Linked DNA regions of Arabidopsis thaliana. The protein of the gene in region 1 interacts with the protein of each later gene in a pairwise test. Each region holds a gene or a part of one and is shown in the gene's direction. Other genes may lie near its edges.

What was found.
Region 2: the proteins of AT2G21530 (region 1) and HB34 interact in a two-hybrid assay, tested with the Arabidopsis thaliana proteins (one large-scale study listed by BioGRID).
Region 3: the proteins of AT2G21530 (region 1) and HB26 interact in a two-hybrid assay, tested with the Arabidopsis thaliana proteins (one large-scale study listed by BioGRID).
Region 4: the proteins of AT2G21530 (region 1) and AT3G12910 interact in a two-hybrid assay, tested with the Arabidopsis thaliana proteins (one large-scale study listed by BioGRID).

Annotation. Positions count from the first base shown.
Region 1 is NC_003071.7:9,216,604-9,222,762, forward strand, and holds AT2G21530 (SMAD/FHA domain-containing protein), read left to right. Parts: upstream 1-2,648; 5' UTR 2,649-2,768; coding exon 2,769-3,045; intron 3,046-3,140; coding exon 3,141-3,205; intron 3,206-3,290; coding exon 3,291-3,351; intron 3,352-3,543; coding exon 3,544-3,690; intron 3,691-3,781; coding exon 3,782-3,861; 3' UTR 3,862-4,005; downstream 4,006-6,159. Other genes in the region: AT2G21520 (Sec14p-like phosphatidylinositol transfer family protein), read left to right, coding at 1-20, 95-361, 440-517, 595-696, 785-834, 935-1,034, 1,125-1,223, 1,312-1,425 and 2 more; SFH3 (SEC14-like 3), read right to left, coding at 4,228-4,242, 4,343-4,414, 4,589-4,938, 5,140-5,251, 5,340-5,357, 5,436-5,525, 5,610-5,709, 5,795-5,844 and 2 more.
Region 2 is NC_003074.8:10,938,437-10,944,420, reverse strand, and holds HB34 (homeobox protein 34), read left to right. Parts: upstream 1-2,587; 5' UTR 2,588-2,884; coding exon 2,885-3,823; 3' UTR 3,824-4,116; downstream 4,117-5,984. UniProt on the Arabidopsis thaliana protein: Putative transcription factor.
Region 3 is NC_003076.8:24,320,523-24,325,954, forward strand, and holds HB26 (homeobox protein 26), read left to right. Parts: upstream 1-2,848; 5' UTR 2,849-2,975; coding exon 2,976-3,647; 3' UTR 3,648-3,813; downstream 3,814-5,432. Other genes in the region: AT5G60470 (C2H2 and C2HC zinc fingers superfamily protein), read left to right, coding at 61-220, 407-806, 1,449-2,268; FLA12 (FASCICLIN-like arabinogalactan-protein 12), read right to left, coding at 5,394-5,432. UniProt on the Arabidopsis thaliana protein: Putative transcription factor.
Region 4 is NC_003074.8:4,107,124-4,113,148, forward strand, and holds AT3G12910 (NAC (No Apical Meristem) domain transcriptional regulator superfamily protein), read left to right. Parts: upstream 1-2,251; 5' UTR 2,252-2,293; coding exon 2,294-2,501; intron 2,502-2,695; coding exon 2,696-3,009; intron 3,010-3,135; coding exon 3,136-3,525; 3' UTR 3,526-3,726; downstream 3,727-6,025. Other genes in the region: AT3G12915 (Ribosomal protein S5/Elongation factor G/III/V family protein), read left to right, coding at 5,711-5,713, 5,816-5,903.

The DNA of each region.
Region 1 (6,159 bases):
GTACTGACACTATTATTCAGGTATGCTATTAAATAGAAGATAGTAGTTTAAACCATTGTTGTCTGTTTTTGTAACGTTTTATTTCTCTCGTTAGGATTTTGATTTCGAAGAGATTAATGAAGTTTTGAAACATTACCCACAATGTTATCACGGTGTTGACAAAGAAGGTAGACCTATTTACATTGAAAGGCTAGGGAAAGTTGATCCTAACAGACTCATGCAAGTTACAAGCATGGATCGATATGTAAGATATCATGTAAAGGAGTTTGAGAGGAGCTTTATGATCAAGTTTCCTTCCTGCACTATTTCTGCAAAGAGGCATATTGATTCAAGTACAACTATTCTTGATGTTCAAGGAGTGGTAAGTATTTTCTACAGTTCATGATATTAGTTGTGAAATGAGTTTTTTTCTCATGTGTTTATATAACTTCATATTCAGGGATTGAAAAACTTTAACAAGTCTGCTCGAGATCTTATCACACGATTACAAAAGATTGATGGAGACAATTATCCTGAGGTATTAGTTAATTGGAGCTTCTAATACTTGATCTCAGGTATCAAATGCTAATCTTGGCTTTGTGGTATTTCATGCAGACTCTCCACCAAATGTTTATTATCAATGCAGGGCCTGGATTTAGGCTACTCTGGAACACTGTCAAGAGCTTTCTTGACCCTAAGACATCTGCTAAAATTCATGTATGAGAGATCTAAGTTATATCTCTATTTAAAAGTCTTGTCTTTGATTATATAGAATTCAATATGGACTATTCTATTGTTTATGTAGGTACTCGGATACAAGTATCTAAGCAAATTGCTTGAAGTCATTGATGTCAAGTATGTGAACCTTGACCCACCCTTATTTGATCTGTTCTATCGAAAGCTGCACGTTTTTTTGTTTTTGCTTATGTTCAAAATGGTCTGCACTTTTTTATAGCGAGTTGCCTGAGTTCTTGGGAGGTGCATGTACTTGCGCAGATCAAGGCGGTTGCATGCTTTCTGACAAGGGACCTTGGAAAAACCCGGAAATTGTGAAGGTCATTTACTTAGACTAATCTCTTTTTGGATTCTATTTGTATCATCCAAGTTGGAATCTGAGACATTTGGTTTTCTTCTCATTATTTCAGATGGTGCTTCATGGAGGAGCACATCGAGCGAGGCAGGTGGTGAAAGTGTTGAACAGCGAAGGGAAAGTCATTGCTTATGCAAAACCTTCATATACATGGGTACGTAGTTATTAAATCCTATAACTAGTCAATCTTTAACTTGTGGCTGACCATATTGTGCCTAAACTCTGCTCTGTCATAAACATAGATAAAGGGAAGTGACACATCCACTGCAGAGTCAGGATCTGACGCTGAAGATATCGGTTCTCCGAAGGCTATAAAGAGTTTCTCTCATCTCCGCTTGACACCTGTTCGTGAGGAGGTAACTTTTTTCTCTTTCTTTCTATCTTCTAGTTGGGGAAGTAGTAGATGTTTATCCTGAGGCTTTGCAGGCAAAGATAGCTGGTGAAACAAGCTTGGCTGGTAGTTTTCCGGGTTATGACGAGTATGTACCTATGGTGGACAAAGCCGTTGACGCCACCTGGAAGGTGAAACCCGCCATCCAGAGAGTTGCCTCAAGAGGTTAGTTAGTTAGCTGCTATATGCTTTACGTACCAGTAGGCTCCGGTTTAGAACCAAATACTGAAGGAAAAGAATTTAACCTAATCCTTGTTTACATAGGATTTATTTTCTTATTAGGATTGTTTTGGAGTTGGTTATAAAAACAGAGTTTTTTTGGTCTTTCTTTGTTTGGTGATCTTAACTCTTATCTGTTTCCTTCAGGAGCTTTAATGTCTCCCACCGTTCCAAAAGATCATGAAGGCATCAAGGCTCGAGTCCTAGTAATGTTCATGGCATTCTTGATGGCGGTTTTCACATTCTTCCGCACTGTAACAAAGAAACTTCCAGCGACTACTACTTCTTCCCCAGCAGAAACCCAAGGAAACGCAATAGAACTTGGTTCTAACGGTGAAGGAGTTAAAGAGGAGTGTCGTCCTCCTTCTCCTGTACCAGACCTCACGGAAACTGATCTACTAAACTGTGTGACGAAGAAACTGACAGAGCTGGAAGGTAAAATCGGAACGCTCCAATCAAAGCCAAATGAGATGCCATACGAGAAAGAAGAACTGTTAAACGCAGCCGTCTGCAGAGTAGACGCACTTGAAGCAGAGCTCATAGCTACTAAAAAGGCCCTTTACGAAGCTTTGATGAGACAGGAAGAGTTACTTGCTTACATTGATCGTCAAGAAGAAGCTCAGTTCCAGAAGATGAAGAAGAAGAAGAAGAAACATCTCTTTTGCTTCTGAAGCAAAGCCAAGAAAAACCAGCACCAGGCATCAAAATCTCCCTCTTTCGTAATTCGCTGTTCTTAAGTATAAACAACAAAACAAAACAAAAACTCTTATATCTGATTTGATGTTAAAGCTAATACAGAGAGCTCTGTTTCCTTCTGTGATTATGAGCCACTTTATATTATATGTTTTATTTTTATAATCATAAAAAAATCTGTAACTGTAAACTTGTTAATGCAAAACGAAAAAAGAGTATCGAAATTATTAATCAGGATTCTGTTTTTTTTTAGGATTTTGTTTTTATCCAGATACAAGATATTGTAGCCACATATCCCATATAGTGATTATCTCTTAACGTATCTCAAAAGTTTTTGCATTTTTCTTTACTTCATATTTTGTTTTTGTAAGATCAATCAGTTTTTATGAAGAGAAAATGGAGATAACAATATCCCAATTGTGCTCTCGAGTTAAGTTTTCATCATCATCATCATCATCATCACTTTTCTGTTTCTATGGAAACAGTAATAGAAACAACCTAAATGGAGCTGTTTCAGTAAACTGCTTGAGAGAGAATGAGCAGATCAGTAATATTAGCTTCATTGCGAAGAAACCAAGAAGTCATGCACCGGTGGTGAGAACAACACGCGCCTCCTTGGATGAGAATCAATCCCCAACTTCCGGAGGAGAACGGTGGCTTCTCAAACCAGTTGGTCAGAGGCTATTTTTTTGTTTCTCTAGGTTTAATATCAATGAGCTTCTTTAATCTTTTTGAGTCTTGAAAGTCTTTTTGCCTGAAAACTTATAGGCGATGGAGACACAAGACACATTGGTTACAAAGTGGCAATGCCTGCTCCTTTTGAGATCTCCTCTGTAAGAAACTATACATTCCACTAGATTGATTGATTTTGATGAGTTTTTAGTTTTTGCTAAGATCACAAAAATGGGTATTGAGCAGGGCCAAGTTACCATCGGACGGCTACCGGAAAAGGCTGACGTCGTGATTCCTGTTGCCACCGGTATTTCTCTGTTCTTGTGGTTTTCGGTTTTCTTGAATTTGTAATCAAAGTGAATTTGGTTTTAATATGAATCAATTTGATATAGTTTTGGTTTCGGGTTTAGGTTCGGATTCGGTACTAGATTTTCGATTGTAGATGGTTTATTGCTTTAGTTTGGATCAGAATCCAACACTCCTAGTCTTTTAACCTCAGTGTCAGGAGTCCATGCGACAATCAATACGAATGAAAAGAACCTTCTTGTGACGGATATGAACAGCACCAACGGTACATTCATCGAAGACAAACGTCTAATTCCTGGTGTTGCTGCTCCTGCCTTTCCCGGAACACGAATCACCTTTGGTACACCAATCTTTTCGCATGATTTTCCATCTCTCTCTCTGTGAATGTGATGGACCGATCAATGAGGTTAAACTCTTTGTGTGACTTGCAGGAGATACAAATCTAGCAATTTTCCGTGTTTTCAAGCTCCAAGATAGTGAAGAATCCATAGAGAAACCAACTACAGAGTAACACAAAACCCGAGAATTGCTTATCTTTGCTTGCAATTAACCGGTTTTTGTTGAAATTCTAAGTTGTTTTACAACATTGTTGATTTATATATATATGAACAATAGCTTTTTATATAATATTATAACATATATATTTTTGTTTTTGGTACGTTACAAATTAGGTGTGAAAGAATTGATAAGTGGTAAACATAAGCTTTCAGATATTTCCAGAGGGACAAACAACAAAACATTTACAGAAAGAAAATTTCCCACATTTTTATCTGTAAAAACTCTTCACGAATAATATTTATGTTTATATATATAATAAATATGGATTTATATATATTTTTCCAGGTTTCTTCAAAGTCTTGAGGCATTATCAAGTCTTTCAGAATCCAAAGAACTGAAAACAAAAACAAAAAAAACATATAAATACGTAAACAAAATCAAGTACGAATAAATCTTGAAAAAGAGTGTTTTAAAATGTGTTAGTTTGTTGTTACCTTCTTCTTCTTTTTCTTCTTGTCGATATAAGCCATTATCACATGCTGCGTTGCCATGGTTTCCTCCAGCGTCTGAATTTTCAACAAAATAAAATTGATTTATAACAGGATTATGAAAATGGTCTAAATTTTAGATCAAAAGAATTAAAATAGCTTTTAACTTTTATAAATGAACAAAATAGTCTAAATTCAAACTTCTAAACTCTAAAATAAGAAACTAGTTATGGAGGCTGTTTAACTTTGTACCTTTTTGGTCTGAGCCAACTGAAGCTCTAGCTCGTCGACACGGCTGAGAGCAGCGGTGAGAATCTGTTCTTTCTCTGGCGAGAACGCTGCAGGCTGATTGTCCAAAGACCTACATTTCTCCTCCAACTCGGCCATTCTCTTCACCATCGACATATACTCTTGGTTTGACACCATTGTAGTCTCTGCTTTGTCCACTTCACCACCGTAAATGGCAGCCTCAGTGAGCTTCCTTGGCATGTTCTTCGTTAGCCTCACCACAGTCATTAACCCCATCACCAAAGACATCACTCCCCCGAATAAATAACCTTCTCCTCCTCTCCTCTGCGATGGCTTCACGGCAGAGTATAAATCTGCGACGGCAAGAACACATTTAGGTAATAAGTGGTATTCTTGTTGAAGAGTGTAGCGGTATAGTATAATAGCAGAATCTCTTTTCAAAGACATGAAACTATGATGAATGTTTGGAATGGTAATAAAAAAAAGAATCATGTTTTCAAAACGTGAAAACACGAATAAATTTAGTGTAGTGTCAATGTTTCAATGTAGTGTACCTTCAGGTTCAGGATAGTTTGACTTGTGGAGATTTGTAGGCCATGTAGAAGCATTCACAGTTTTGTCAATCATCGGTATGAATTTTGTGTTCTCTGCATCGAATTTGTTCTTCTGCCAATAGGATTTTCAAAATCAGTCATACAGAGAAAGAGAGAGCTAAAGAAGTAACCTTTATTATTGACAAAAGAGAGAAACTCACCGCAAAGGAATCAGATTTCTTCAAGCAAAAATATGAGAATGTTAGATATTACTGTAAATTTTAAAGATCAAAGATATTTTTGTATTTTGCTTTTACCATTGTTGTGTTCTCGTCCACTGAGATTGTCTTCTCTTCAATGTTTGACAAAGTCTTCCTTGGGCACTTTCCTTCTCCGTTCTGAACCATCTGTATATAGTTCAAGATTCAGCTTCTCAGTTCATCGTTTCGTTAAACGGTTTTCGAAGATTCTCTACTTATCCTACAAATTACCTTGAAGATGTCAGGGTCGTTCCATGGACCTTTGTCAGAACGCATACATCCACCTTTGTCTGCACAAGTGCAGTTACCACCCAAGAACTCAGGAAGTTCACTAAACACAAATAAAGAACAGATAGTTTTCAGATTACGAATTTGCAGCTAAAATGCAGAGTTATGGAGCTCTGTTACTCTCTTACTTGGAGTCGATAATCTCAAGCAGCTTGCTTTGGTATTTGTTGCCAAGAACCTGTACATGAGGGACATGAGATTTCGGACAACCGTAGACCTTAAAGTTTGGATCTTTGAAGTGACACAAAACAGAAAAAAAGCTTACGTGAATCTTTGCGGTGGTCTTTGGGTCAAGGAAAGATTTCACAGTGCTCCACAGAAGCCTGAATCCACTACCAGCGTTGATAATGAACATACGGTTCAATGTCTATATGATCCATAAACACAAAAACAATTCTTAGTGCCATTTTAACTTGATAGAGATAATTACAAACTATTTCAAAACCATTAAGAAAACAACATAGTAACCTCAGGGTAGTTATCGCTATCGATC
Region 2 (5,984 bases), on another chromosome or scaffold:
TCAACTAATTAAAAAAAAAAAATACGCAGGTGGTCCTCGTGTAGAGAGACAAAAATGGTATTTATCTTTTTAAGAGTATATTATTAATGGTTTTTTAAAATAATTTTTAAATTAAGAGACATGTCTTATAATGTCTTATAATAGCTTATAACTAACAAAAATCTCTTATTTAAAAGACTTTAAAACACTTTAGTTAGATATAAGACATATTTTTTAATTAATAGTTATGTTAAGATACCATCAATAAAAATTGTCTAAGATGGAGTAATATAGTAATTTAATATAGTCCATTGGGCCACTGAAACTTGTCCAAAATCGTTTTACAGTATATCACTAATTTGGTTCGGGTCAGCTAAAAATATGTTCTTAATCTCTCGCGGTCTAAGTTAATAGCCACAGTTAGAAACTAATGCATTATAGCTAATAAACGTACAAAAAAAAAATATTGTTTTATCTTCTTCTGATAATCTGATTCCTGATCTAGAAAAATGTGGTTCCATCATTCTTTCGACCAAGAAAATAGAATAATTCTTTATCATCAAACAAAAAAAACAATAAAGAAAACTTAGTCCCCAACATAATATACATCTTATTCTCATAATAGACATCATTAACCATAATTTTTATGCACCGAATCTGTATATCTAATCCATGTACAGAAATATTTGTAGTACGAAATTCAAAATACACATAGATGCACATAATTTATTTGTGACAAAAAACGAAGAAGGCAAAGATTGTTATATCGGACGTAATATGTGGTTTAATATTTCACGTACCACTTAACTGATGTTTGATGGTGGTGTACGAACCGATTGAGAGATAATTAAAAAAAAAAATCGAAGGATCATATTTTTCGTGTTTGGTTACCGATCGATAGGTTGAATTTCTCGGTCCAATGATGCAATCATTCGTTGGAAAATAATTTGTGATTTCAGAATCCAAAAACATGCGTACAATACGACCTTCTTATTTGCCAATTCATTTGTATAGTGATTATTCTCATCACTATGGTTTAGTCATCATTGGCTTTGTTCTGAAATGTTTTTCTTTATTTTTTTTGGTTTTAGCCGTATTTTGCTTGTTCGAAAGAAGGAGCAAGTTGTGATGCTCTTGATGTGATCGCCCAGAAGAAACTTTGGCCACCGACTTCGTTTTTCTCGGCGATGGTCGCTTGGTACGAACACATTGGCCTTGGCCCATGGCGTTTGCTTGATTGTTTGTACACACCACCGCACATGACAGAGAATCATCAAAATTTGAATATTTTAAATAATAAATATAAATTACATATATTTAGTAAGTTCCGATACTAATTTAGATTTTAGTCTATGACCTTGAATGACGGTAGTTTTTAGACATTAGGTCTTAGTTTTAAACCCAAAAGACCGAATTTGATATAGGATCTATTTATGGTAACCGAAGAATTTAACTGCATATGACTAAAGACATGACTGGTTTAATTGCAGCGGACGGGGCTGTGGTTTCGCTTGCGGTTGCGGAAATTTGCGGAAGCGAGATATTGTGGTTTCAAGCGTTTTAAACGACTAATTTAACGTTTCAAAATAGATGCATTTGCAGAAATCTTATGACTAGATGCAATAATAATTAAATAAATAAAAAAGATCCAAAATAAATATAATATATAGGATTAGATACAAATATGAAAAGATATATACAGAATTATATATATTTATCTTAATTACAAATATGTTGATTATTTATTATTATTTTAATATTTTAATTCAACCGCTACCATCCACAACTACAAACGTTTGCGGGAAGGAGTTTTTGAAATGTATTGATATCGAGCGATCCGAGCAGTATCCCGCGATTTATATGATTATTGTCAATCACTAACAATTGTTACCACATGTAAATGATGCGTTTGCATGTAGTAGAAGGAGAACCAATCAACCCCTTAACTGATGATGGCTGAATTTATTTTAAAGGTGGCTGAATGACTTCAAATGATAACCACTGAATTTATTTGAGATTATTCATTTTTCAATATAGTTACCTGCTGGTAACATATATTTCCTCCATTCATAATAATATCGTTTTAAATATTTTTATATAAATTATTAATATATATTATATTTTAAAAACCAAACTGATTCATACTTTATAGATTTTACATTGAAAATTTAGAACAATACTTATTTTGGAAAAAATCTTTAAACAACAAAACAGAATAAGTATTTTTTTTAATATTATTTTGTGAAAAACAACTATTTAGTTTACAATAATACCTAATAGTATAAGTAAACTTTTACAAAGTTGTTCGGTAATTACATTGTAATAGTCAAATATACAAAATGCTAAACATATTTTAACAGAAGGAACAAATATTAGAATAAAGTAAAAAGAAGCCAACTTCAAAAAAAAACAAGAAGTGTCACAATGCATGAGAATATTAATTATAATTGGACTGTCTTTAGGTTTAAGACATTTATTACTCTATATATATTTCCCCACTCCCTATTACAGGTCCCACTTTTAACCATACATTTAACCATAGTTAAATCATCAAACCCTACCTTTCTCTGTTAAACATCTTCAAGCTCTGTCCTTTTATTTTAAATATATTTATTATTCACATTTATTAACATTTTTATATCTCTCCCTATTAAATTATTTTATTCTCTCTTAGCAACATTCATCAACCAGAGCAGATTCACTATCATCATCTTATAACACATCTTCTTCCTCTAAAGTTTATTTTCTTAAACTTATTACAAAAAACATGATCTTCAAAAGTTGATTTAATCTCTTTTTATCCATCTTCTTCTTCATTTCTCAATATCAAACTTTTCTTTTTTTGTAAGCTTAACATAAACCCTAATATTTTCTTGATTTTTTTCAAGAAAATAAAAACATAAAGATGCTTGAAGTTAGATCAATGGATATGACTCCAAAATCACCAGAACCCGAATCCGAAACTCCGACCCGGATCCAACCAGCTAAACCAATCTCTTTCAGTAACGGAATCATCAAACGCCACCACCACCACCACCACAACAACAACAAAGTCACTTACAAAGAATGTCTCAAGAACCACGCGGCGGCGATTGGTGGTCACGCGCTTGACGGTTGCGGCGAATTTATGCCGTCTCCTTCGTCAACACCTTCCGATCCAACTTCTCTCAAGTGTGCAGCTTGTGGTTGTCACCGTAACTTCCACCGCCGTGAAACTGACGATTCCTCCGCCGTTCCACCACCGTCTCTTCTTCCATCTTCAACAACAACCGCCGCAATTGAGTATCAGCCTCATCACCGTCATCATCCTCCTCCTCCGCTAGCTCCTCCGTTACCACGTAGTCCTAATTCATCTTCTCCGCCGCCTATCTCTTCCTCCTACATGCTTTTAGCTCTCTCCGGTAATAATAAAACCGCACCGTTCTCAGATCTAAACTTCGCCGCCGCGGCTAACCATCTCTCCGCCACGCCTGGCTCGAGGAAGCGATTCAGGACGAAGTTTAGCTCAAATCAGAAAGAGAAGATGCATGAATTCGCCGATCGAATCGGTTGGAAGATTCAGAAACGTGACGAAGACGAAGTTCGTGATTTTTGCCGTGAGATCGGAGTTGATAAAGGTGTTCTCAAAGTTTGGATGCATAATAACAAAAACTCCTTCAAATTCTCCGGCGGAGGAGCAACCACCGTGCAGAGAAACGATAACGGTATCGGCGGCGAGAACAGTAACGATGATGGAGTTCGCGGTTTAGCTAACGACGGTGACGGTGGTGGTGGGAGATTTGAGAGTGATAGTGGAGGAGCTGATGGTGGCGGAAACGTAAACGCCTCGTCGTCTTCGTCGTGAAGAAGAAAACATCATGTCGTTTTGCAGGGAAAGAGTTATAATAATGGAAGCTTAAGCTTTGTTTTTAGCTTTAGATCATAGAGAGTAAGCACTGGTATTATTATCGTTAATACGTTTTATTAATATTAATTAAACTCTTTTAGCTCTTTTTTAATTTTCCAATTTTATTATAATTTCATTACCACGACGTTGTCTTATTTTTCCATTTAAAGTAAGTTTATATCAACAAATTGGATTATGTTATAATAAGTCAATTTTGGTTAATTTAATGAACCCTAATGAGGAAAATTTTATAACTTTAATGTTTTTTTTAATAATATGTTTTTTGGCTTCTTATCTTAAAAGCATTTTGTCTTTTTAAATTGTAACGTTCCCAAAGGTTTCATAATACTTTTCCACTAATGGAAAGATTATATGAACTAATCACCCGAATTAGTCACAACACTATAGGTCAATTTAGGTAATCAAACGAACCCTAAAATGTGAGTCCCAAACATAAATAAACTATTGCAATTTAGTTAATTATTTAATATTATTTGATGGTTTCTTATCTTGAAGAGTACTTTGTCGCTTAATTTAATATGCGATCAAACTAAGATCTAGGTGTCCTTTTCATAAATCTCTCTTTATTCTTTGAGAAAAGAGACAGGTTTTGTTTTATATATTAATTATTCTAATAATATATTTTGCAATGATTAGTTATCTTGGTGTCTAATTAACAAAAGATTCATCGGATAATTCATTTTAATTTCCTCATTAATCCATTTCTTTATCATCCTTACATTCCCACTATCCGTTTTTGGTATATATGCTCAAGTGTTCGATATTCTTAAAGTGCAAACTACAAATAAGTATATATTATATAATTGGGATCTAACTATTATTATTAAAGTGCTATATAGTGTTAATTTAGGGCGTGGAACTAATCATTAACTTTACGAATAATTTAAATAACTTTCTAACTGGGAAACGTAGAAATGCAGCCGTGATTATGCGATAGGCTTAAGACAATTAGATACTAGTCGTGATTAATAAATGTCGGCTTACCAAACATAAAATATTAATAAAACTGTAATTAGATTAGAATATTGCATGAGAAAGCACAAAATATGTTATGTAGTATGCTTTTGGTGTCTAGGATTTAATTCTTAGAGAATACGTTTTGTCTAATTAGCTAGATTTATGGATAAAACTATCTAAAGATGTATAATATAATGTAGATAGAATATCTGGGTTTCTATGTGAATTGTCAATTAAATTTGACCTATGAATGAATATATGCAATGAATTTTATATTACAATAGAATTGTTTGTTGTGCATTCGTTTGTAAATACTAAATAGGTAGTACTATTAATTATGTTTTATAAAAAAAGAAAATTTTGGATTATATTATCATTATGGTTTTAGAAAATCAAATTATTTGTTGAATGATGTTGTAATAGAATAAAAATCTAAACAGTGATAATTCACTTGATTACAGAAATTTATCGAAAAAATCTGAGGTTCAAGTTTTTACTTAAGAAAAATGGTTTACGTTTTTAATAAGTTTTACTAATTAAGGGGTTTTTGGGTCAAAACTAAGGGTTGGTTCAATATATATGGAGAGAGATTTTGGTAAAGATCTATACATTATATATATATATATATATTTTACGTTATCACCAAATAGAATTTGTTAAATTTATGCTAATAAACAAATTAATATATATTTGCTATTATTTTACAGATTTCGTGAAGTCACAAATCTCTTTTTCGTGGTAGGGACAAACTTTAACACAGGGTGAGGTTATGGCCCTAACTGCCATATACCATGTGCACAGTGCACCACTTACTAATTTGAATTATTCCTGACGTAACTATTGCTAACAAAATTCCTACTTCTTATTTTAATTTATATAATTATTTTTTGGAAACATAGATGACCTAATTTCCGCTATAAATTAATTTTAGTGGAATATACTGAAATAATTTTGTGATGTAAATTTTAGTCGTTTTACTAATCACAAATTATTGATGGAATCCGATTTGCAGAAAACTATTTATCATATTTTTTAATATGAATTATGAACATTCTTAAAATACTAGTTCTGGTGTTTTCAATTAATTCACTCTCTTTTTTATATATTTTTTCATTTTATTCTAATTTTTTTGTTGTTTCTA
Region 3 (5,432 bases), on another chromosome or scaffold:
TTTAAGTGGAGAACTCTAAGACAAACTAAACTATTTTTTTTTTTTTGTCTCTTCTTACATATGAATCAAGACATGATGATTCCACATAATCATGACCGCCTCTCATTCTCTAGCTTTGTCCATGACCAAGAGCACATCACCCCTAATCCTTACCCTAACTCTCAGCCTGCAGCCTCCACTAAAACACCCAAGAAAAAGAGAAACCTTCCAGGAAATCCAGGCATGTGTATATATAATTTTATATGTTCTCCATGGGTCTTTAATAAAGCTCTAGCTTGATGTGTTTTCATCAAAATCAATAATCTTTTTCCAAGTATAGATCCTTTGTGTTTTCTTTTTTCTTTCTTGATACTGTTTTATTTTTATTGGTTCTAATTTTGTTTCTAACAACAACAACAAAAAACAGATCCAAATGCAGAAGTCATCTCTCTATCTCCAAAATCCCTCATGGCGACAAATCGGTTCTTTTGTGAAATTTGTAACAAGGGGTTTCAGAGAGAACAGAACCTTCAGCTCCACAAAAGAGGCCACAACCTGCCATGGAAGCTGAAGCAGAAAACGAACAAGAATCAGGTGAAGAAGAAAGTTTATATATGCCCTGAGAAGAGTTGCGTCCATCATGATCCAGCTCGAGCCCTAGGAGACCTTACTGGAATAAAGAAGCACTTTAGCAGGAAACATGGAGAGAAGAAGTGGAAATGCGATAAGTGTTCCAAGAAGTATGCTGTGATATCCGATTGGAAAGCTCATAACAAGATTTGTGGTAGCAGAGAGTTTAGATGTGATTGTGGTACTCTTTTCTCCAGGTCATTACTACTCTTTCTACGTCTTCGTCTGCAGCATTATCGTTTGCCTTAACATGTTCATATATCAAACATTTTTAAAAATTGTAACAACGGAAAAAACGTTTTCAAATCTTCAGGTTTGCATTTATTTGAAGTGTTTGATAAAAATATAAATATAAACGTAAAACACAAAACATATTTGAATTATATTTGAAACAAACCGGGTCTTATAATTGGACATCGAAACAGATGCATGCATACATAAAAGCATGATATTGCCTATGCTAGAAAAATAAAAAGTTATTGAGTTTACTTTATGTATAGCGAGTACGTTGGTCTTTGGCTCGTAGCTTGTCATTTGGATACCACTACCGTTAATTATTTCTTGGCTTCTCTGTGTCTTGGTCCAGTTTGTAGTTTTATAGAGACACCAATATCGAGGAGAAAAAAGGCTGCATGACTAGGACATGATGTGGTCATGTCTCCATAGCCTTGAGTCTTTTTTTTTTCACCTTACTACACATATCGATTATAAGCTTGCATCGAATAAAGAGTTGCATATATACCATATACAAGAAGACCTATTTTAATTTAATTTATATGTTACCAATTAGCCTATATTAACATAGTTACTTTATTGAATGATTTGGTTGATTGTACCAGGAAGGACAGTTTCATCTCACATAGATCCTTCTGTGATGTCTTAGCTGAAGAAAGTTCTAAATTCTTCTCAGTTCCTTCACCATTAGCCGCCAATTCGACCATCGCCACTGTCACTGATACCAACAATCCAATTCTCATTCAATCACAATTGGATCAATCTTCCACAGGTACGGCCGATCTTAACGTCAACAACAATCACACCACCCTATTTGGACAAAAGTTCACCAACTCCAACCCAACCCAACAACAACCCAATGCTTTGGCGTTGTCCTCACCACCATCACCTCGTAGTACATCTGATTCGGTTCATAATCTATGGAAGTTACAAGAAGAGGAATGTGCACACCAGTGGTTACTCAATGAATATATGAACAATAACAAAAACATATTCCATAAGGGAATATTCAAGAATCAAGAAGATGAGATAAAGAAGGGAAATATCTACAGCGGCTCAAACCCAACCGATGGAAACATAGCATCCTTGTTCTCGTATAATCAAGAAGCAGTGAATATGGCTTCATTTTCGGCAACAACATTGCTTCAAAAGGTAGCTCAAACGGGAACACCATCAAGCTCCGAAACTAGCACCACCATGTTTGGGCAAATGACTTCCTCCATCTTCAACAATACGATGCTAAACTCCTATTGTTTAACGGCGAAGAATAATGAAGAAGAGTTGACCAGAGACTTTCTTGGTGTGGGAAGTAGTGAGGACCAACAACGTCTACATCGTCATCGCTTCCCATCAAGCGTGCCATTGACGGCGAACCATGATATTCCCAAGTTGGCCGCAACCATTGTAGGCAGGAAGCAACCATAGACATGGCGTCATCTGATTCTGAAATTACTCGTTTTTGTTGACATGCAAGGTAATTAAAGATAGAAAAACTATCTCCACAAGTTCTTTAGAAAAACTATAGAACAAAAACCTGAAGCGATAATTTGTTTACAAAATAATATGTACGTGGAAGTGTATTGTTTAAATCTAAAAATTTTATTTATATATTTTCTCTCATTGGAGACAACGTATGGGATGGGAGCTAGATGCGAGACAACCATCCACAACAATAGGAGAAAAGCGTAGATCACGAGAGAATTTCTGAGTCAACTCGATTTAGTAGACCAGGTTAACTCGGTTGACAAAGATTGAAAGTTATTTGGCCCCACGTGCCACCATGCATAGAGAAACCTAACCATGGATCATGCATGAAATTCGAAATCTCTTTTCTTGCAGAAACGTAAGGTTTTTATCCTCCCCCCCAAAAAAAAAGAAACGTAAGGTTTTTATATAATTCTTAAGCGTTTTCAGATTTGATTAATCATGACTGAAAACACGCATCTCATTCTTCTTGTCTTTTTAAAAAGTTTCCAAACTAATGCTAAATAATAGGATTATTTACTAATCCAAATTGCAATCAACAATGTTATTTATATAAACCTATTGGACAAAATCTCTCCCTTTATGTCATTGACAACATTTCCAGAAACAGAGTATAAACGCACTAGTGAGTGAAATAAGAATCAGACATGAGCTCGTTATCAAAACCAAACAGACAATTTTTGTCACCAACAACAAACAACCAAGACACCGGCAGAGAACAAACAATCGCCTGCGCCCGAGATATGGTTGTCTTGTACAACGAGTGCCTTAAAAACCACGCGGTCAGTCTCGGAGGCCACGCTCTTGACGGCTGCGGTGAGTTCACACCAAAGTCAACCACCATCCTCACGGACCCTCCGTCCCTTAGGTGCGATGCTTGTGGCTGCCATCGCAACTTCCACCGTCGTAGTCCTTCTGACGGCTTCAGTCAGCACCGGTCACCACCGTCTCCGTTACAGCTGCAGCCACTCGCCCCTGTTCCGAACTTGCTTCTCTCTCTTAGCTCCGGTTTCTTTGGACCCTCGGATCAAGAAGTCAAGAACAAATTTACGGTGGAAAGGGATGTTAGGAAGACTGCGATGATTAAGAAACATAAGAGGACGAAATTCACGGCGGAGCAGAAGGTGAAGATGAGAGGTTTCGCGGAGAGAGCGGGGTGGAAGATTAACGGCTGGGATGAGAAGTGGGTGAGAGAGTTTTGTAGTGAAGTTGGAATAGAGAGAAAAGTTCTTAAGGTTTGGATCCACAACAATAAGTACTTTAACAACGGGAGGAGCAGAGACACGACGTCCTCTATGTCTTTGAATTTGAAGTTGTAGATCTCTTTACAGTGATGGGTCTTCATCTTCTTGAGATAAGGAAAAACCGAAACAAAAAGAGGTTACGGTAGTCTCTGATCCGACCGGAATGTCACGTCAGAAATATAAATTATCTAAGTTTTTTTAAAATTAAAAATTATTATCCTAGAAGACTTGTCATTTTGGGCATAACTTGTAACGATGGATCATGACTCATGACATGTATATGGATATGTATTCGAGTGATATTAAGGGTATTTACTCTCTCTTTTTTGTTTATATTTATATATAAGTAAGTATATAGTGTAACAATGCTGTAAATAATAATTCATGAGTGAGTAACTAAGAAAATTGAAATATATAGGTAACTGGTTAATATATAGGAGGAAATCAGTACCTAGTTTTTTTTCTTTCTCTACAGTACTAATCCTAGTTTAAGGAGTAAAAGGTGAAAACAGGATGTAGTCTCTATATAGATACTTCCTACTTGACACGGCTACTTTAACTAGTGACATTGAGAAACACAATAACACTCCTTTTGAATACAAGATGTGACCCATTCTCGTTGACACTACAAACGAATCTCCTGAACTTTAAAGGCAAGTAGATTTTAACTAATAAGATACGTGATTAGGATATTATATGTACATCCATTTAAGGATAAAGCTTCGGTAACAGCCCTCATATAATTGTCCTAAATAAGGATAATGCAATTGTATCTATACACTATATTGTCCTAATACATATATCTTTCCGTAAAGAGTTGGCTCTTCACACACATCTTGAACGAAGCATCTGATGGTCTTTATTCCTTGTCATCAGAAGCTTCTTATTGGGGTGATATTTAATGGAAGATTCTTTGACGAAGGAGGAGTCGTCACCTATATGCTGTTTCAAGTTTCAAATTCCAAATTATAAAGAGATTCGTTTTGTTGAATAATTATTAAATTGATCGACTGGACTTCCATTTTCCCAGATTTGCAATCATGCATGTGGCAAACCAATTTAATTCTTTGACTTAAATTAAAATGAAGAACGAATTTGTTGCTATAGTTGTAGGATGGTTTTTAAAAAAATAAATGTATTATCAATTTATACTAACGCTAGATTAAACTTTATAGTATTGGATTTTGTATTTGATCAGTAGATCAGAATTTTTATTGCAAAAGACATATATATGAATGGGTGAAATACAAAATAATTCCATACAAATGAATGTGATTTTTTATTTGAAAAAATATTAATTGGATGCTATTTCATCAGAATTTTTATTGCAAAAGACATATATATGAATTTTTAATCATTTTTATTGCAAAAGACATTTATAAAATATCACACTGTTTCTAATGAAATAGCATCCAATTATTTATTTTTCAAATAAAAAATCACATTCATTTTATGCAATTAATTCGGCTATCTATCTAGATGATATATAGTTTTATGTTTCGCTAACCTATACGATCGATCATTATTATTTAAGCAACTGGATCTTGTTGAAAGAAATGTGAAAATAGGATCAAAGGAAAAACCGAAAAAGCAAAGATAAACGAGATATTAACAAAAACACAATTCTCACTCGCACGAAAACGGAAAATATGATTTGTATTAATAAAAATAAACGAAAATATAAAAAACAAATGGATTGATTAACACAAAATCGTATGAAAACCAAGACACAAATATATCCCCAAAATCACCCACATGGCAGAAAATCATGAGTAATAAAAAATAACAATTTATCAGCACAAAAAAAAAAAAAGCTTTTCATCACAAATAAAACCATGCGAGCATTACACTCATGACGCA
Region 4 (6,025 bases), on another chromosome or scaffold:
TTCACCTCCATGCAAATTAATAAGAGTTTTTTTAGTGCCGAAAAAAGTTTATAATAGATTGAGAGGAAGATGTCCAACAAGAACAACTTGGGGTCAACCATTGATGACTCTGGTTGAATTATCCTTTGACTTGACCAGCCGCTACGAATTGACCAACAAATTGAAACAATTAATAAATAGGGGAAGTTATATGAGTTATATTCATTTTTGTTTTTTTTATGTCTACCTTTCAAGCAATTCCCTTTTATATACCGAATTCATGTATTAAATTACTCTCGTTTCCATGGCTTCCCTATGTTTGTTACTTCTATTTTACATCAGAACTAGATTAGTTAATATTTTCTCTGTACGTCCAATTTTATAAATATTTTGGCTACAAACACACATATTAAGAACTTTGTTTTACTTACAAAAATAATTTAATATTTTAGTTAAAAAAATAATAATAAAGATAAAAAAATGATCACAAAATATTAAAAGCGTTTAAATTTATATAGAAAATGTAAGATATAAAGTATATCTAATAGAATGAAACAATATTAAGATAGTATTAGTTCTTTTTAACATTCCAATGAAATTTGATAATGTTTGTACCGGAGAATGATTCCTTCTCTAATTTTTTTTTTTAAAATAAAAATAAATTTTCTAGTTCTAGACATGTACATCTTTATCATATTGAGGATTAAAATATTATGTATGATTTTCTTCTAAATACCATTCGAAATCAGTGACTTTTAGATTTTATTTAAAATATTTTACTCGTTGTGCTATTTGTACCGGGTACTTTTACCAAAAGCTTATCTAAAAAAGTGGTAAAGATTTGGACAAAAAAGTCAGAACCAACATTACTTGAATAACGTTTTTTCGTAGAGTGAGTTTTGACAATGAGCAGTGTATTAATGGGAGAGACTCTTTCAGTGCAGTGGAAATTGTGGTTTCTGAATATAATAGGTAATTATGGTGACAATAATTATAAGTATTAGTATTTCCACTACTTTTAAATAGACAGCATATTTCCACAGCTTTAAGCACGCTCCTCTGATCGAAATTTCGCCTCGTGGATTTTGCAAATAGTGTTACAACAATTACCACCGGATTAAATATGATTTTTCTCATATTTAAAAAAGAAAAAAATGTGGTATAGTAAGTCATGTTGCATTCTTCAGAAAAAAGTAAGGCATTACAAAAATGTAAGGTCGTCCAGTGAGATGGTGGAAGATAAGCTTCATTGTCCAGAGAGAAGTAGTTTGGAAATAATTTTAATTTATGATATATAATGGATATATATGTACGTAAAATAATTAATTGTTGAGATATCAATCCGAATGAAGATGTAAGATCAACATAAACGAAGAAATCCGATATGCCGATCTTTGAAAGTATGGTTTGTTAATGAGTTTCAGTATTATTAATTGGATCTAGATATAATTTGGAATTAATAAGCTTCTGGGGATTGGTTGGCTACTAACGACGGTTTATGAACCATCCCGTAGCTGTAGTTATCAGTTGCAACGATATTAAAATAAAGGGACAAGAGACGAGTTTAAATTAAGACCAATTACTTTCAAGTTCAAAAACCAAGCTTAACTAATAACTACAATAACCAGTAAAATATTTTGGAGAAGTGAGAAAGGAACTGACAGGTAATATTCGGTTTTTATTTGGTGGATCTGTCATTGTCAATTTCGGAGAAATTACCAAATAGAAAAATAAAAAATGTAACAATATTCATATTTTTTCTTTTTAGTTTGTTGATCTCTCCAAGACTCCAAGTTAAAATCTCCAAACGAAGCAATACAAATCTTACCTTTACGAGCACAAAGTCGGATTTATGCGTTTAACGTCATGATGATTAGTAGATGTTTTGTGGTGGTCAAGAATATAATATGCAAACAATTAATGATGGGTCTAGAAGAAGTTAATGTTGTAACAATGAATACTCGTCAGACATTTTGGAAGAGAACACACAAAAATTAAATTTTTGTGTGTCAAAAAGTCAGTCCTCTCCTTAGCGTTTTCCTTGCGTCCTAATAATGCGAAAGGTAAAAGCGTCATATTTATTGGGTCCACGTATAGATGCGAAAAGACTCGTTCTAAAAACTCAAGCCCAAAAGACTTTTACCGGGTCGGATATATCATTGATTACAAAGGATCACTAAGTCAACAGAAATGACTTGACCAAATCGATCTTATGATAGATAGACACACGACACAAACTCTCTTTATATAAATCTCAAGAAGATTCTTATATGTGAGTCCAAAGAGCAAAAAGGAAGAAATAGAAACCAAAGCCATGGAGAAGATGATAGAACCACGGGACAACACAAGAGAATCAGAAGATGAGGATGCGTTAAAGCTTCCAGGGTTTAGGTTTCATCCGACGGATGAGGAGCTTGTAGGGTATTATCTCTCTAAAAAAGTGCTTCTCAAAAAAACGAGCAAGATTGATGAGATCGTCAGCCAAATTGATATCTATAAATTTGATCCGTGGGATCTTCCAAGTAAGTTTGTTTTACTCACTCTTGCTTTTTTCTGTTTTTTGCACTCCAAACCATGCAAACACAAATAGAAAAAAAATTAGGTCTAACTTTTATGAGAAAAACAAAAGTAAAGTCGTGTATGCATGTTTGTGAAGTAAAATTAACACATAAATTATTGTTATAAACTGATGATCAAACATAATTTTTGTTTGAAGGGTCGAGGAATACAGAGAAGGAGAGCTACTTCTTTTGTAAGAGAGGAAGGAAATACAGAAACAGCATAAGACCGAACCGAGTGACTGGTTCCGGTTTCTGGAAAGCCACAGGGATAGACAAGCCTGTCTATTCCGATGGATCCAACAAAGCCGTGATCGGTCTAAAGAAGACACTCGTTTATTACCTAGGAAGCGCCGGGAAAGGAAACAAGACGGATTGGATGATGCACGAGTTTCGTCTCCCTACAGCCAATGACACAATCCCCGGTGGCCCTACACACTCTAACCCTACTCCAACTTCCTTGCTACACGCGGTAAGTTTGCTATCTCTTGATCATGATCATGCATGGTTGGCCACTATAAACGCTTCACATGGCAAAAATACATAGGGTTTGAGAAAGAATGCTCATGGATGGTTCTTATTAACTATATAATTGCAGGAAGTATGGACGTTATGCCGGATATTTAAGAGAACTGTGTCTAGTCGAAAATACACTCCGGACTGGAGAGAATTAGCAAATGGCAAACGTGTGAAGCAGCAACAATCTAATTACCAAGAAGCTTATATAAATTTTGGGGACAATGAAAGTAGTAGTAGTACCAACGTGATGAACGTTAGGGAAGGCAAAGGGAACTACGAGAGAAGCGTTTTCCAGCTTCAGCAAACGCCTTATCAACATCAAAACCAGCCAATTCTCATGGACACCACACACGTTGATTCGTTTCAACATTTCTCCAACGATAACATTCACCATGAAACCTACGAGACTTGGCCGGACGAGCTTCGATCGGTTGTGGAATTTGCTTTCCCACCTTCTTTTCTTAGTTAGATCTCTAGAATAATTAACAACTAATATGTATACATATTACATATTACTAGCTTGGACGTGTTGTATCATCAGATCTCTACTGTATACATGGATCGTGTGTATATGAATATGCACCTGTTTGAATTCTCAGGTTGATCCACACGTATATAGTATGTATTAATGTCAATTTAATCTCGGGAACTATTTGCATATTTTGTTTTATTAGCCCTCTTATTTTATGTTTTTCGGTTAGACGAATAGTGGACTTGTGGTCTTGTTATCTTTAATAAAGTAACAAAAGCGTTTAAAAAAACATTAAGAAGCCCACAAAGGAAACAAAGCCCATTAGGTGGAGGAGATGAAACGATGGAACTTCTTGTCTTGTCACGGATGAGAGAAATATTGGAGAGAACCATTGGAGAGAAAGCAGAGTTACTTGCCAATTTCGAATTCTGAGAGCGAAGAGCCGAGATTCTGTTTGTAGTTTGGATGATGAATACGATTGTTCATGTTCCTTTTATCTCCAGATTTCGTAAATTCGTCAATTTAAGAGACGATTAGCTCAGTTTACAATCGAGTCAGTATATATCGAATTAAACTGCAGAGGTTTTGGGTGTTCCCGAGACATGACTAGGATATGGTTCAATAAACAGTTGGAATTGGCGTGAAAATTGTAGATAGGTTAAGCTTTATACTTCAAATCATGCAATCGAGTAGTCTGATATCATTTTACTGACTGATTCCACTGGTTATCCAGTAGCCAACTATGTACGTGTGATTGATTGTGTAGTAATTTCCGTCTTGTACTTTGTAAGTTGGGTTCTTATTCTGCTGCATTTGGCTATTCCGTGTCTGATGACCTTTGTTTTTTCCTTTTGCAGCTTTGTTAGAGTCTCATTTAGATCCATGTCTCTTTGCTTTAATTGGTCACAATGCTTCTTCTGGTTTTATTGCAGCGGAAACGGTTTATTGAACAAACGAAGACTCTTTATGGTATGAATTTCCTGGCATCTGTTTCAAGTTTACTTTCTAAAACCTGGAAGTTCGGCACATGAGCAGTTCCTTTTAGAACAGTTTGTTTACTTAAACCTTTGACGCCCTTTTGTGTACTGGTATAAACCTCCTGCCTCTTCTCTCATCTGTTTCAGGCTTCGATTCCACCCTTCATATTACAGTCGCAATTACAAACTAGTGTCAATGAGAGAACCCAATTCGATCAGAGGTATGCTTTCTCTTCTTGACAACAAGTAAAGTAAACAGGGTTTCTGTTTCTCCACTTCCTTTTATGGTTTTGGTTTTGAAAAGTGAAATCTTTATGTGAAAGTTCCATTTTTTTGTTTTAATAGGATTTGAGATTAATGAGTAATTTAAAATAAGTGAGCCTATTTAGGCCCTAAAGACAAAAAAAATCCTAACTTTTTGTCTTTTTTTATTAAACTAAAATATCAGGGTCATGATTTACAATCTTTATTTTTTCTTGATACTTTTCATGATTTTAGTTTGTAAAAAAAAATGTATAAAATCATAAACCAATAACACCATAATTAAAATCATTAAGAATCATAGATTCATTTGTTTTAGTTTAATAACATCAATTTTTAATGACTTTATTAAATTATGAATCTAATAACTCAAAATTTATGAAGACTTTAGATTATTTTGTATAAATCAAAATCTAATAACACTAACTGTTAACAGAATCTTATAAAATCTTAATTTAATTACACAAGATTTTTTATAACATTAAATCGCTAAAAATTTATATAAATCGTAAACCAATAATACCCCCTAATTTTTTTAAAAAAAATAGGATTTCAGATTAATGAGTAATTTAAAATAAGTGAGCCCATTTAGGCCCTTAAGACAAAATAAAACCCGACAGAGATTCTCTGTGTGAAACCCTAAATATTAAAATCAGAAGGCAAAGGCACTTTCTTATAATATACAGAGAGTAACGCTTCTGCTCATCTTTTCACGTCCAAGGCTGCACCCGTACTCGCTCCAGGTTGGTTAAGATTTTAGTTTACCTTCGCTCCCTCTTCTTCTTCTTCTTTTCCCATTTATTAATTTTTTACAGATTGTTGATTCTCTCTTCTTCTCTCTACTGCTGATCTATGAATTCTAGTATTATTTTCCGATAATTTTCTTACTGTCTCTTCTTTCTCTGCAGAGAATTTTGTAGGCGTGAGGAAAAAAGCAAGTCAAGATGGTAAGCTTTTTTTCTTTTCTTTCAGAGTACTATTCATTTATTTTTTGTGTAGTGATCTGCCTTGTGTTTTGTTTAACACGTTTTTGTTAAAAAATCTTGCAGGTGAAGTTTACAGTTGAAGAGCAACGGAAAATTACGGATCGTAAACACAACATCCGTAACATGTCTGTCATCGCCCATGTCGATCATGGTATTTATCTCTTTAAAAATTGTTCGTTGTATATGAATCTCATATCACTCTGTTTTTATGGCTTATTGATGTTAAAGTATAACATAACATAAAAAAACGATTTTATTTTATATATCTTTTAT